Arabidopsis thaliana: one gene and its partner. The protein of the gene in region 1 interacts with the protein of each later gene in a pairwise test. Each region holds a gene or a part of one and is shown on either strand. Other genes may lie near its edges.

What was found.
Region 2: the proteins of BBX14 (region 1) and AT1G60010 interact in a two-hybrid assay, tested with the Arabidopsis thaliana proteins (one large-scale study listed by BioGRID).

What each region holds. Positions count from the first base shown.
Region 1 is NC_003070.9:25,706,011-25,714,034, forward strand, and holds BBX14 (B-box type zinc finger protein with CCT domain-containing protein), read right to left. Parts: upstream 4,980-8,024; 5' UTR 4,740-4,979; coding exon 3,753-4,739; intron 3,555-3,752; coding exon 3,321-3,554; 3' UTR 2,165-3,320; downstream 1-2,164. Other genes in the region: LBD42 (LOB domain-containing protein 42), read left to right, coding at 1,023-1,212, 1,483-1,994; AT1G68526 (uncharacterized protein), read right to left, coding at 5,859-5,940, 6,020-6,228; KCS6 (3-ketoacyl-CoA synthase 6), read right to left, coding at 6,871-7,319, 7,679-8,024.
Region 2 is NC_003070.9:22,094,785-22,099,523, reverse strand, and holds AT1G60010 (D-ribose-binding periplasmic protein), read left to right. Parts: upstream 1-2,903; 5' UTR 2,904-3,089; coding exon 3,090-3,375; intron 3,376-3,468; coding exon 3,469-3,599; intron 3,600-3,759; coding exon 3,760-3,864; 3' UTR 3,865-4,239; downstream 4,240-4,739.

The sequences.
Region 1 (8,024 bases):
TTGTCATTTCTTTTTGAGAGAAAAAAATCTTAAATTTGTCTTTTCATACTAAATATTGTATTTTCCCCCAAGTAAATATACGGTCCAATTCCGTATAGCCTCCCTAAAACCTGGAGTAGAAATATGCTTGAAGATGAACAAGGAGTTTTGTCTCGCGTGTGTGTAATTCACGTGCCTCATTTTTGCTTAATATTTTTATTTTCTCTTTCAGAAGATTTTAAGACTTAAAGATTTTCTTTTGGTTTTTTTTTTTTTGTCGGTATCATCTCTGTGGGTGGTTCTCGTGCATGTCTCCCACTTTTCATCTCCAAAGTTTCCTCGTATCTCCACCCCTCTGAACATCTGCTAACATTCAATTACGTAAACACCCTCACATTTTCATCTCTTATCTTATGGTTTTCATGCTTTAATTTGAATTTCAAAAGTAGCTTGCACTGCATAGAGAGTCATAAGACCTTGGAATCAATGTTGATATGATGAGGATTGAGAAACGAGCGTTGAAGAAGAGGTTTGTCATTGGGTGAGACGTAATTAATTACTATACTATAGATAAAGGTGACTAGGTGAGTGGTAAAAGTCGTAATATTGGAATGCATGGATGGCAAATCCCATAGAAGAAAAAAAAGTGTAAGAGAGAGAAGTTGGTATTCCCGAAGAAGGAACTCCCCAACTTTTGCCAAAACAAAATGCCAACTTCACTGAAACACACAACCTCCTTCCCCTCATTTCTTGGCCTTTTCTCTATCTTTTGAGAAATCTATACAAATATTTTACTAATTTCTCTCTTGAGAAAGTAATTATCTTTAATGTATTTGTTTTATAAAAGCCTGGACTGCACCAGTTTTTTTCCACCACTTTCTCCAAGAACACACAAAAGTTGAAAAATACCAGCTCATTCACTTATGACTCATGAGTAACTTCTTCCTTATAAATTCAAATTGTTCACAACTTCCTTGAGTTCCATTTCCGAACACAAACACACATCATACGTATATTTGTCACTAATAAACATATAAAGGAATATGAGAATCAGCTGCAACGGGTGTAGGGTTCTACGCAAAGGTTGCAACCAAGATTGCACCATTCGACCATGCCTTCAATGGATCAAATCCGCAGACTCTCAAGCCAATGCTACACTCTTCCTTGCTAAGTTCTACGGTCGAGCCGGTCTTCTTAACCTCATCGAATCCGGTCCTGATCACCTTCGTCCCGGTACTGAATTATCTCTTTTACCTTTTTTTTTACTACACAACGGTCCATTGAATTATCTTGCGAGTAAATAGTACAGAAAAAGTGACGATGTATTTTGGATTATGAGAGATCTTCAAGATTTGGTAACAGAGTAGTATCAAACTAGGATCTAAATGTATATTATAGATTTTAACATAAAATTCTTACATGCACAGTCACAGACACACATCACATCACACATATGTTTTTCATTTTCCCGGTTGATTACATTACCTTCATTGTGTTTTGTAGCAATATTTAGGTCACTTCTGTACGAGGCTTGTGGTCGGATCGTGAACCCTGTAGATGGTTCGGTTGGTTTGATGTGGTCAGGGAACTGGGCTCAGTGCCAAGCAGCTGTTGACGCCGTGCTCAACGGCTTACCCATAACTCACACACCTCTTCCAAGTGCATCCGCGTCGCACCAGATCATTCCTCCCCACAGGACTTACGATATACGCCACGTGGCTAAAGATCCAACAACCGGCGGCGACAGTTCGGAGAATCTGGCCACACGTGTAAACGCTAACAAGAGCAAGACGCAAACTGGCCGATTCAAACGTGAATCCGTGAACCAACTAGGTGAATGTAGTCATGACATGTGGCAACTCCCAAGTTCTAGTGCTACGCATGGTTATGGCCACTTCACGTTGGAGAATGTGGAGAGCCGAAGGGAAGCTCCATTTAATCAAAGTTCTCCAAATCTTGGGTTTGATGATCAAGTCGATATCAACGAGGTTGGCTTAGAGCTCAGACTTGGTTAGAACCAGAAGATTGCATTATTATTATCATAATTCTGTCTTTTTAATTAATAATTTCACTTTCTATATAAAAGGAGAAAAAAAAACTAAAGCAAATCAAATTTAGTATTATTGTCAATCATTAGGTTATCATAAACTCACTCTGTTTCAAATTAGTTTTTTTTTTCTCTTTTGTCCTTAATTAATATATTATTTTATATGATATTACTTTGTTATGAATGAAAAGCCATGCAGGACTAAATACAATTATTTCATTGTTTCTGAGTAATAATATCTGAGTGCCCACTTCAAACCAGCTCAGAAGCGAAAGAGTGTCCCCAGCAGCTCGAATCGTATGACACTATGACTAAGGACCAAACACGTTAAAGCACAAACCCTTAACTTGTTTTTTCTATCAATTCAAAATTGTCATCATTAATATGTCCAAAGGGCCTCACGATCCAAGATATTGAAGGATATTTTCTTCTAAAGTGTTGCCAAATCATATCTTGGATATTTTCTTCTTAAGTGTTGCCAAATTACTGCTGCTTTAAAGTGTGAAAACATATTTGTTGGTTTGAACATATATAAGGTTAATATTAGGCTATTTAGTACAACAAACAAAGGAAATTATGAAAAAAAAGAAGATAAAAATTGATTGCATAAATACAACTATAACCAATTTAAAATCTGAAATACAAAACACCACACAATTATATAATTTTCATATCACTTTTCTTACAAAATTATAATTTTCCCAAGCCAAGTACTCTTCTACTTAACTCTTGAAAAATTGATATTGGAAATAACTTTGTAAAGAATAAAGATATCTCCCGATCAGTGTTTTCCATTGCAACAATTCAATTTATAATTGTTATTGTTTGTTCAAGTGTCCCTCAACACCTGTTGTTAAACGAATTTTTCTGATGACTAAAAACTGAACCATTGTCAGAAAAAACTATAGTGTACCTTAATGTTTTGAGAAGATTTTGGATTCAAATCCTCAGCTGCGGACAATTTGATAAATTAATAATATTATAGCTGATATGAATAAAATAAAACAAATTAAGATATTTCAGTGGGATATTTGTGAGTTGTGACAATCCATATGTTTATTTTGGTGACAGCAGATTACCAGCAATCAAAATTCACGTTATATCGACTATATAAATCAGTGCTTACAAGATAGTCACATTTTTTGGTGATATATTTATGTACATACGTAGCTCACAAAAACGTGCAAAATTCTCTATGAATGCAGAAAAAGAAAGCTAACAATCACCAAAACTATAGCAACAAAAAAGCAAGATGAGAGCAAAGTAATTTAATATCCATAATTAATTAAGTTCTTTAGTGAGCAACACCAATTGAAGATCTCTTGACGAACCTTCCTTTCATGCGAGGCCTTTTCTCTGCATTCAATTTACGTACCTCGTACCTTATCTTCTTGGAGAACAACCTTGTCCTCCTTTTCTCTCGGTATCTTGAAACCCTAGCCTCTCTTCCTCCATCCCCAGCATCTCCTAGGTGTAACCCTAGGCCGCGGAAGTGGTTGTGATGATGAGCCTCTGCTCCACTTTCACCCTTAATATTCACAACACAAATAAATTTTGTTAATTAGAGACAATGCTTTCTTTATATCAAAACTAAATAGTAATAACAAAGGTTGCGGTCCATTGATAAAAACTTGTTGCTAGTATGATATTTGTTTGAGTTTAGTCATAAACTATCCGGTCGTATAAAATATAGTAGATAGAACAAGGCAATGCGTGATAGACGTACCATGGTATGGGTTGGGAAACAAACCATGTCGAGGTCTATTTCAGATGGCACCCGGGCGGTCCATGGGATCCCTTGGCCTCCCCAAGTGGAAATGACTGATTCATAGTCCAATCTAAGCATAAGAGCCTTCTCCTTCTTCTCTTCTTTAATCCCACCACTCATCTCATTCACTCCCATCTCCATCACATTCTTCATCACGTCTTCTTTCTCATCTTCTTCTCCTTCATCGAATGTGGTCTTGTGTGTGTACTCGTAGTCAAAGCTTATTTCAAATGGGGATGTCTCATCACCTTCATCTTGATCATGCACTTCTCTTGTCACAACTCCCTCTTCCTCCACCTCCTCTTTTTCGATCTTTAACATCTCACCTAACCCTAGTTCTTCTATGGAATGAAACTCTCGATCCCCTCCACCGAGTAGAGTCTCCACGTCAGCTGTGAACTGAGCTAGTTCCATGTCGGTTGGGAACAAACCATTCAGACAACTCTCAGCGTTGTCGTCATCTTCTTCGTCACTACTCTTGAAACTTAAGGGCATCATTGGAAACTCATTCTGTTTCTCCAGGGATTGGTTAAAGCATTGCTCCTCAACCATCGAGTTCATCACCGGCACCTCAAATATGAGCTGCTCTTCCACCTCGTAACTCTCCGCTTGATCCTCCGTGCTCATCTCCGGCACAAGATCATGAAAAACCATCGTGTGGCTCTTCTTGCCTCCACGTGGGGTCCGAGCTTTACGTGTAAATCCCTGATGCCACGTGGCTTGGTGAGGCGGCGAGGCATGGCGATACTTTCCGGCGCTAGCCGATTTCAAGCGAACTCTCTCGTGCCTACGAGCAAGAGGGTTTGCCGAGTGGACCGAACCGTCACAAGCATGGCAAAGAAAGGCATCATCAGCTGCGCAATACCAACGTGCCCGCCTCTTCACGCAGCTATCACATGCCCTCGCCGTCTTCCCTCCAACCGCACTAGCCAAACTTTTCATCATATTGAACTTATCACCATCAACAAGAAGAAATCTTACTTTGAGTAAAACCAAGTTGCCAAGTCTCAGTTGCAAAAAGAATGTTTTATCGAACTATGGGTTCTCTCTACAAAGGTTTCAGTTTTCGAGAAGTGGTTATAAAAAGAGAGACTACATTTTCATTTTATGAGGCATTGAAGGGTTAAGTGTAGAGGCGTTGTTGGCTAGTACATGTCCCACACGATGTGAGCTTTTTTCTTCTTGTATAATTTAAAGTGAAAATTTGATGCACCTTTTTGGTTGCTTATACCCCATGAGGGCCATGAAGAGATCTTATCTCGATTCTGATTGGTCGAGTTCTTCAAGTTGATCCTATTCTTAATGTTGTGATTGGTCAGCTTCTTAATCAGATGGATATCTTTATGGTCCACTTGTCGTTTTCACTGACCCAATCACTCCTTATTTTTGGATTTTGTTACCATTCATTCATTTTTGGTAGATTTCATTATTTTCCATGGAAAAAGTCGATTAGTGTGGCTTATTCTCGTGATTATGTGGAAAGCGAGGTTTTGATTGGTTGTGTCGGTTTACGTTTAAAGATAATGAGTAATGACATTAATTATAGTATGATATGTCTACATCTTTATTTTCTACATAGTTATCTTAAAACTTTAGAGACAATGAAATTGTATTAATATCTTTACTGTATATTTTTATACAAAGGAAAAAAATCAATTAAATCCCCAATTATTAGGACTAAAGATAATCATTAAAAAACTATACAGCAAGCGTAAAAATATACAATTTAAGCATATAAAGAGAAGATGGCAGAAAAGTAGAAACGAATTCAACAATATGAAGCTCAAGAATCAAGTGGACAATAAGTAGAAGTGATAAATGGAGAATTACTAGAGATAAGTAGAAGTGCTAAAGTAGAAAACGTTGGGGTTAAAGAAAAATAAAAGATAAAGTGGATAACAATGGTTTGTGCTGGACCACATCAATATGCAGAAAACTTCAAAAACAAAGGCATCAACCTTTTTCTTGAGAAGATAAGAGGCTTGATGGATATCATTTACCACTCTTGGCATTATTCGTGTACTTGGAAAATGATGTTTATATTTTTTTCGCCATTTGTATACACTAAGATTTCGGAGACTGATTATTGATTGAATTTGATAAAAGATCATTAACCTTAAACTTTTGTCCTGTCTGTTGAGATATCCTTAATACTTGGAATTCATAGAGAACAAAAACTCATAACGCCACATTTCACCAGCCACAGTTTAGGGTCACGTACGGACTGATGGCAAAAGCGCTTGTTGATCAACGTCGTTAACATCATCAATCTCATTATCATCCTCTGCATCCTTCTTAGAATACCTTTCCAAACATCTCTTCTCAAACTCCAACTCTTCGACATCTTCTTCATCACTTCATGAGGATTAAACCTCCGTTGGTAAACCTTGCTATTGATGACCTGCATCCTCACTAGGAAGGCCTGTTTCACCATTTACAATGAAACCTAAGCCATCATAAGCTGGGAAATCAAGGCCCACTTATTGATATAGGTCCAATACATTTTGTGGCAGTGTTGGAAAACATGTTTGATGTACTCGTATTTTAATACTATTGGAGAAATATATGGACTCACGTATTTTTTAATCATCATGAGTCATGACATCATCCAATCCATTCATTACATACCATCATGCATGCAACATATAATTTTACATGCAAAAGTCTGTAAGAGATGACTGTCCATGCACCACATTCATAGTGGACATATTTACTGCTATCGGATCCTGCAAACTGGATGGATGGTCAACCCAAATCAGAAGCAATATATATAAGGCAGCGATGAAAACAAAGAAGTTTATTCTCCAATTTAAAAATAATAAAACAGAGAGAAATATTCTTATTTGAGTACACCACAAGTTATTAATTACAGCACGAGAAACTAAAAAATACCCCAAATGAAAAGCAGAGATTTAAGTATATGCAGAGCAATTAAATACAAACATTTATGCTTTGCTTTTTCTTCTCTCTAACTTCCCATTTCTCAATCCCCTTTAAACCAAATCCCGAGACCAAATAAACCTAAACCGTAACACAAAATCAAACCGTTACTAAACCGTTCAAAGACGTTTTCAGTTTAGAGTTTGACAACTTCGGGAATAAAGACAGGGTAACGGTCGATACAATCGGACCATGGTCCGTCCTTAGGTGTCTTAATCGTACGGTTACATTTCCACACGGCAGAGTTACACTTGAAACCACTCCCAAACGCGATTTGCCAAACGCGATCGCCTCTCCTCATTCTCCCTTTAGACTCGATGTAGCTAAGCTCGTACCATAACGATGAAGATGACGTGTTACCAAAACGATGTAGTGTCATTCTTGAGGCCTCAACGTGTTCTCCTGATAGTTGTAGATTCTTTTGGAGCTCGTCGATCACCGCTCTGCCTCCTGCGTGAATGCAAAAGTGTTCGAAGGCCAGCTTGAAATCCGGTATGTATGGTTTCCATTTCGGGTTGAAGATTTTACGTCCGATTAGGGACGTGAGGAAGAGAAGTTGTTCTGACGCCGGTAGGACCAAAGGACCTGTTCAAACAAATTCATCTATCAAAACCAAAAACGTACCATAATTCCTTAAACCTAAGCCAAACCAAACTTTGCTTTAAATCATAATAAAATTTATATCGAACAAACCGAATTGAATGCAACCGAATAGAGTAACCTAAATTTCCATAGAAGTGAGACATATACCAAGAAAGTACATTTAACCATAATAACAAAACATATATAGAGATAGAGTAATTATTCTGTTATTTAAAACCGAATTGAAGTCAAAACGGAGCCGACCAATAATATTTAATGCCCACCCCTTGATATAGTTTTCACCGTGTATATCATTGTTAGTGTATATATGTAGGTGAAATAAAATGATGTGTGTTTATTACCTATTGTGGTGATGTTTGCCTTGAGGGCTTCACCGGCGATGGCCATGAGATCTTTGGACAAGTTGATGCCAACGTGTCCTTCTTTGTCTTCCTGTTCGTAGACACAGTAGAAAGACTTGTCGTCAGCGCCACGGTGTGTCCGGACGAGGTGGGAAAGCTTGTATTTGGCTCGCCACCGGTCAGACCGGCGGTTTGACATGTGTATGGCTGCCGCACCCATGCGGAAGAGACAATTGGGTAACAACATGGCTCTCTCGTTGCCTTGATAGTAATTAGGCGTTATGATCTCCGTGCTGACGATGATTGCATTTGAATTGGGATGAACTTGGAGCAAGTCGCGGGCTAG
Region 2 (4,739 bases), 3.6 Mb from region 1:
GACAACACTTTTTAATATATATTTTTTGCAATTTTAAAATATAATTTTGATGGCACACTACTGATAATCATGAGTCAGGTAAATTACTTTATCATGAAGATATTTCCTTAGGATATCCGAATTTGCGGTTCTATTTATAATAGGAATTGATTACGTCATGTGAGTATTTGCATATTCTTGATTTTACGGACCAATAACTCGAAAATGGGTCCATAGTTACTGTATATCGTTTGGTAATAACTGTGATCATTAAAATCGTAATTTGAATAAAATGTGTATAGTAACATAAAATATCGCACGATGGTCTCTGTATCTCATGTATTACATTTTAACATTTACTTAGCGTGGCTGAAATTTGGGATTGCAGTGATGGTTGATTTACCGGTTGTTCGAAATGTAAAACTACCATATGAATCTTATAAGCCACTGCAATTTACATGACGTATCACATTCACATATATTAGAGAAACTTAGATTCACTAGGTTAATTAGTGTTTCTAATTACAAAGTAGAAAAAAGTTTGAGATCATATAACATAAAATATTGTAGTCTTTTAGTAAAAGTGGTTGTAATACATGTGCGATAAGATTGTTTTTTAATAAATCCTTAAATGAGCCCTATAATTACTACTCATGTTATAACGAGCTAATAGAACATTACTTGACTATTACTTCACTACTTGTCGAGTTGAAGCTATATATTTGCACCTCTTGGTTTTGTTGTTGGTTTTCATATTTCTTTTTGAATTGTTAAACCTCGTATATGGTTTTCTGAAATCTTTATGTCCCGTGTCTTTAAATTTTAAATCTAAAATTTACTTTAAGAAAAGTACAATAACAACCCTATAAAAATTTGAGTCAATTGAGACGGAAGAACTATGTACTTTATAGATTTCTCAGTATTCTTCCACTGATAATAATCAGATATATAATCATTCCTAGAAATCTCACTTTAGTTCGTCTTATAATCAAACCCTAAGTCCTAGCATATCTCTTCCATACGTAGTCATCATTAAAGTGGTGTTTTTAAGATATTTTTTTCCCCCTGGAAAAGATAACGTTAGTTTTATAAGATAAAAGAAGATGATGATGTAAGAAAACAAATACTTTAGGGGAAAGAGAGATAAATGACAATCATTGTGTGGTTGAACGTATAATATAGTTACTAAACAACAAATAACTAATGAGCTATAGGGGTCGAAGTTTGACAACAACAACAACAAAAAAAAGAAGCTATAGGGGTCGAAAAAACTTTCTTGCATTGTGGATAATCTCTCAATACCAAAAGTAGATTTTGCTGGTAACGAATATAGTAGTCACAATTGTCCATTTCAGATGGGAGTGAATTTCCCATATGGGTTCTTTCGTGAAGGAATGGGTACATTATATTTGCTATTCAAGAACACTAATGGGACGACCCATTCTTAGCCCTGAACCAATCTGCGACATGAACCGGAGTTCAAAAGAACCAAATCGGTACTAACCGAATGAATCATGCAAAAGTAAATAAAAACAAAAATAAAATGTCAAGAGAAAGCATTTAAGTCCGTGAAAGTGAGAAAAAAGAGATAAGAAGTTGCAGTGTCCCTTGTCCACCCAATCCACAATTTCTGTTTTTATTTATCTTTTTTTTTTTTGGGCTATTTATCTACCTATACTTTTGTTTATTTCTTTGCCCAAAAAAAAATACTAGCTTTTTTTTTGTCTCCAATTTCTAAAGTATTATTTTATTTTTGTTTTTTTATTCTTCATGAGTGGTACCAAAATTGATTTTTTGGATCTATTAGTTAGGTTATCTTCAGCTATCTCTGATTTTTTTTCTTATATTCGTCTAAATCTATATACCATATCGTTTTGTCCATGGTCCAAGTTCAACGTGCATTAAATGTTATATTCGGTCGAATTTGAAAATATGCAGAATAATACATAAGCTTCGGTGGTTGAAGTCTTGAAGATGAACTCATATCAGTATGACTAATATAGTACTATTTGGTACCCATTGTTATAATTTCAGTGTTAAACGTTATCTATACAAATGAGCAAAAGGGAAATATACACACAAAAAATCAGTACTAACTATCTTTAACATCATTTTTTCAAGTATATGCATGATGTTTATATCGAATTATGGGTAGTTGGACAAAAATAAACCTCTGTAAGAAAATATCGAAAAAATATTAGTTACCTATCGTTACGAAATTGAAACGTTACAACTTACAAGTGAAAAACGACTCGAAAAATATTACTTTGAAAATCTGCCGTTTCAAACTAATATTTTTCTCCATTCTTACAAACGTTACAAACATATTAAATTATAAATTAAACAAAAGAAGACAACACCTTACGTTTCTTTTTCAGAAAGTGCAATTTATGTAACTGATATTTTTTATTTGATTACACAAAAAGAAACTTATTAACTTCGGAACGATAAGTTATTCTTTGACAGTAGTAGTATAATCAAGTCCTAAATAAAAGTCAAACGCTACAACATTCGATGATTAACTGCTAAAAACTATGGTTTATTGGCTTATCACATGATCTAAAACGAGTAAGAAAATTAAATGCAACTTAAATTATATGAATCAGTAAGAACAAAAACAATGTCAAAATCATCGGTCCCTGATCTCCGGTGCCGGCACCCACCCGTTCAAATCAACTATTTAATTTCCGACCATCCTATTACTCTATTCCATTAAATTTTTAAACTCCAAAAATAACAAAAATTAAATAAAGTAAACGTCAGAGATGCCCCAGGCAACCACAGTCAAATTTGCAACAATATGGTTACAAATCTTTAAATAATATTATTATTCTTATCATTAATCAACTCCCAAATGACAGTCCAATTAAATAATCACAAAACATCATAAAAGTGACCAAAATTAAATAATAACAATTGTTTTTTGGGTTTCACATGTTTTATAAGCAAAGCCAGTGTGGTGGACCTAACTCTTCACGCTGTCCCGAAAAAGACTCTTCTCTTCTCTCTTCCTCTTTCCTTCACACAACTCTCTCATTCTACTCTCTGTTTTTTTTCTTTAATCATAACATTTTTTTGAAGAACAGAGATTCTTTTTGTTTGTGTAAGAGATGGGAAATTGTCAAGCGGTTGATGCGGCTGCGTTGGTTCTACAACATCCTGATGGCAAGATCGATAGATATTACGGTCCTGTATCCGTTAGTGAGATCATGCGTATGTATCCTGGTCACTACGTTTCTCTTATTATTCCTTTGCCGGAGAAGAATATTCCGGCGACAACAACAACAACAGATGATAAGAGTGAGAGAAAGGTTGTGAGGTTCACGCGCGTGAAACTTCTCCGACCAACGGAGAATCTTGTACTTGGTCATGCTTATCGTCTCATCACTTCACAAGGTTTGTTCTTGTATATTTGTTTTTGTTTAGCTTGTGTCTGTTTGTGTTCTTGTAATGGGTTTCTGATTAAATTAGCGTTTGATTTGTTTTCAGAGGTTATGAAGGTTTTAAGAGCCAAGAAGTACGCGAAAACAAAGAAACACCAAAGTGAAACGAGTAAGGAGAAGAAGAAGCCATCATCGGAGAAGAAGATTGATGAAGAATCCGACAAGAATCAGAATCTGGTACGGAATCTTTACTTAGAATTTAAGATATGGTTTAGCTTCAAGAATCAATTTTCACTCGAATAATTAAAGTAATTAGTTTAAAGATTTTACTCTATTTCTTTCCCCAAATTAATATAAAATTATGAAAATTAATGGGTTTGTGTTTTTCTTTGTATAGGAAACGAAAGATGAGAAGCAACGTTCAGTGTTAACGAATTCAGCTTCATCGAGATCAAAAACATGGAGGCCATCATTGCAGAGCATCTCTGAAGCTACGAGTTGATGTTTGGGTTTTACGTGAGGGACAAGAAACGTAGTCTCTGTGTGTGAATCATTCAGAAGATGGAATCTGAAGAAGAAAGAGATATAAACATTATTGAATAAACTCTTCTCTTATGTTCCTTTCTGGTTATAATTTACATAGGAGATGAAAATTTTATAGATTAAGATGTAAAAAGAACTATGCAGAGATTAAGAACTAAGTCCCTTTTTTGTCCTGTTAATGTATATATGTGCTCCATGTGAAGAAATCAATCAAAAAATAGATTGTAAAAACATACGTTTTTGTTGGTGTTTACTGGTTTACACAAATTCTTGGAATAAAGTTCAAAAAACTTTAGTTAAATGAGTCCAAAAACATTTGATTTAGATGGTTATGTGAGGTATAAATGGTTGTAAGAATTGCATTGAGTTGGATTGATCATTGGTAGGTACACATCCTTTCATGCATTTATGGGATGGTTTTTTAAGAAAATAACCAATTTTATTTGAGATTATTAGTTATTTTTCTTCAGAGAAGTAGTAGACTTTCTCAAAATTTATATTTCTTTGAATGGAAAATCAAATTGAATTTACATTGTCTTTTTTTTTTATAACTACTTTTTTCATTTTTTTAGCAAATAGTATAACATAGATGAGCTAAGTAAACCAACAAGGATGGGCATTTGCATCAAACCCATACCAAACCAAAAAATTGAACCGATATTATGAATCAAGAATTTAAGATATCCTTGAAATAAAAAATCTGAAAATCCAACTGAAGCCAGCCAATGTTTTTAGACTCTATAAAAAGATATCTGATTAATAAATTGTTACTTTTAATTTTAATTTTTTTTTAATCCAGAAAACAAAAAATCAATGGTCAAAACATACATAGAA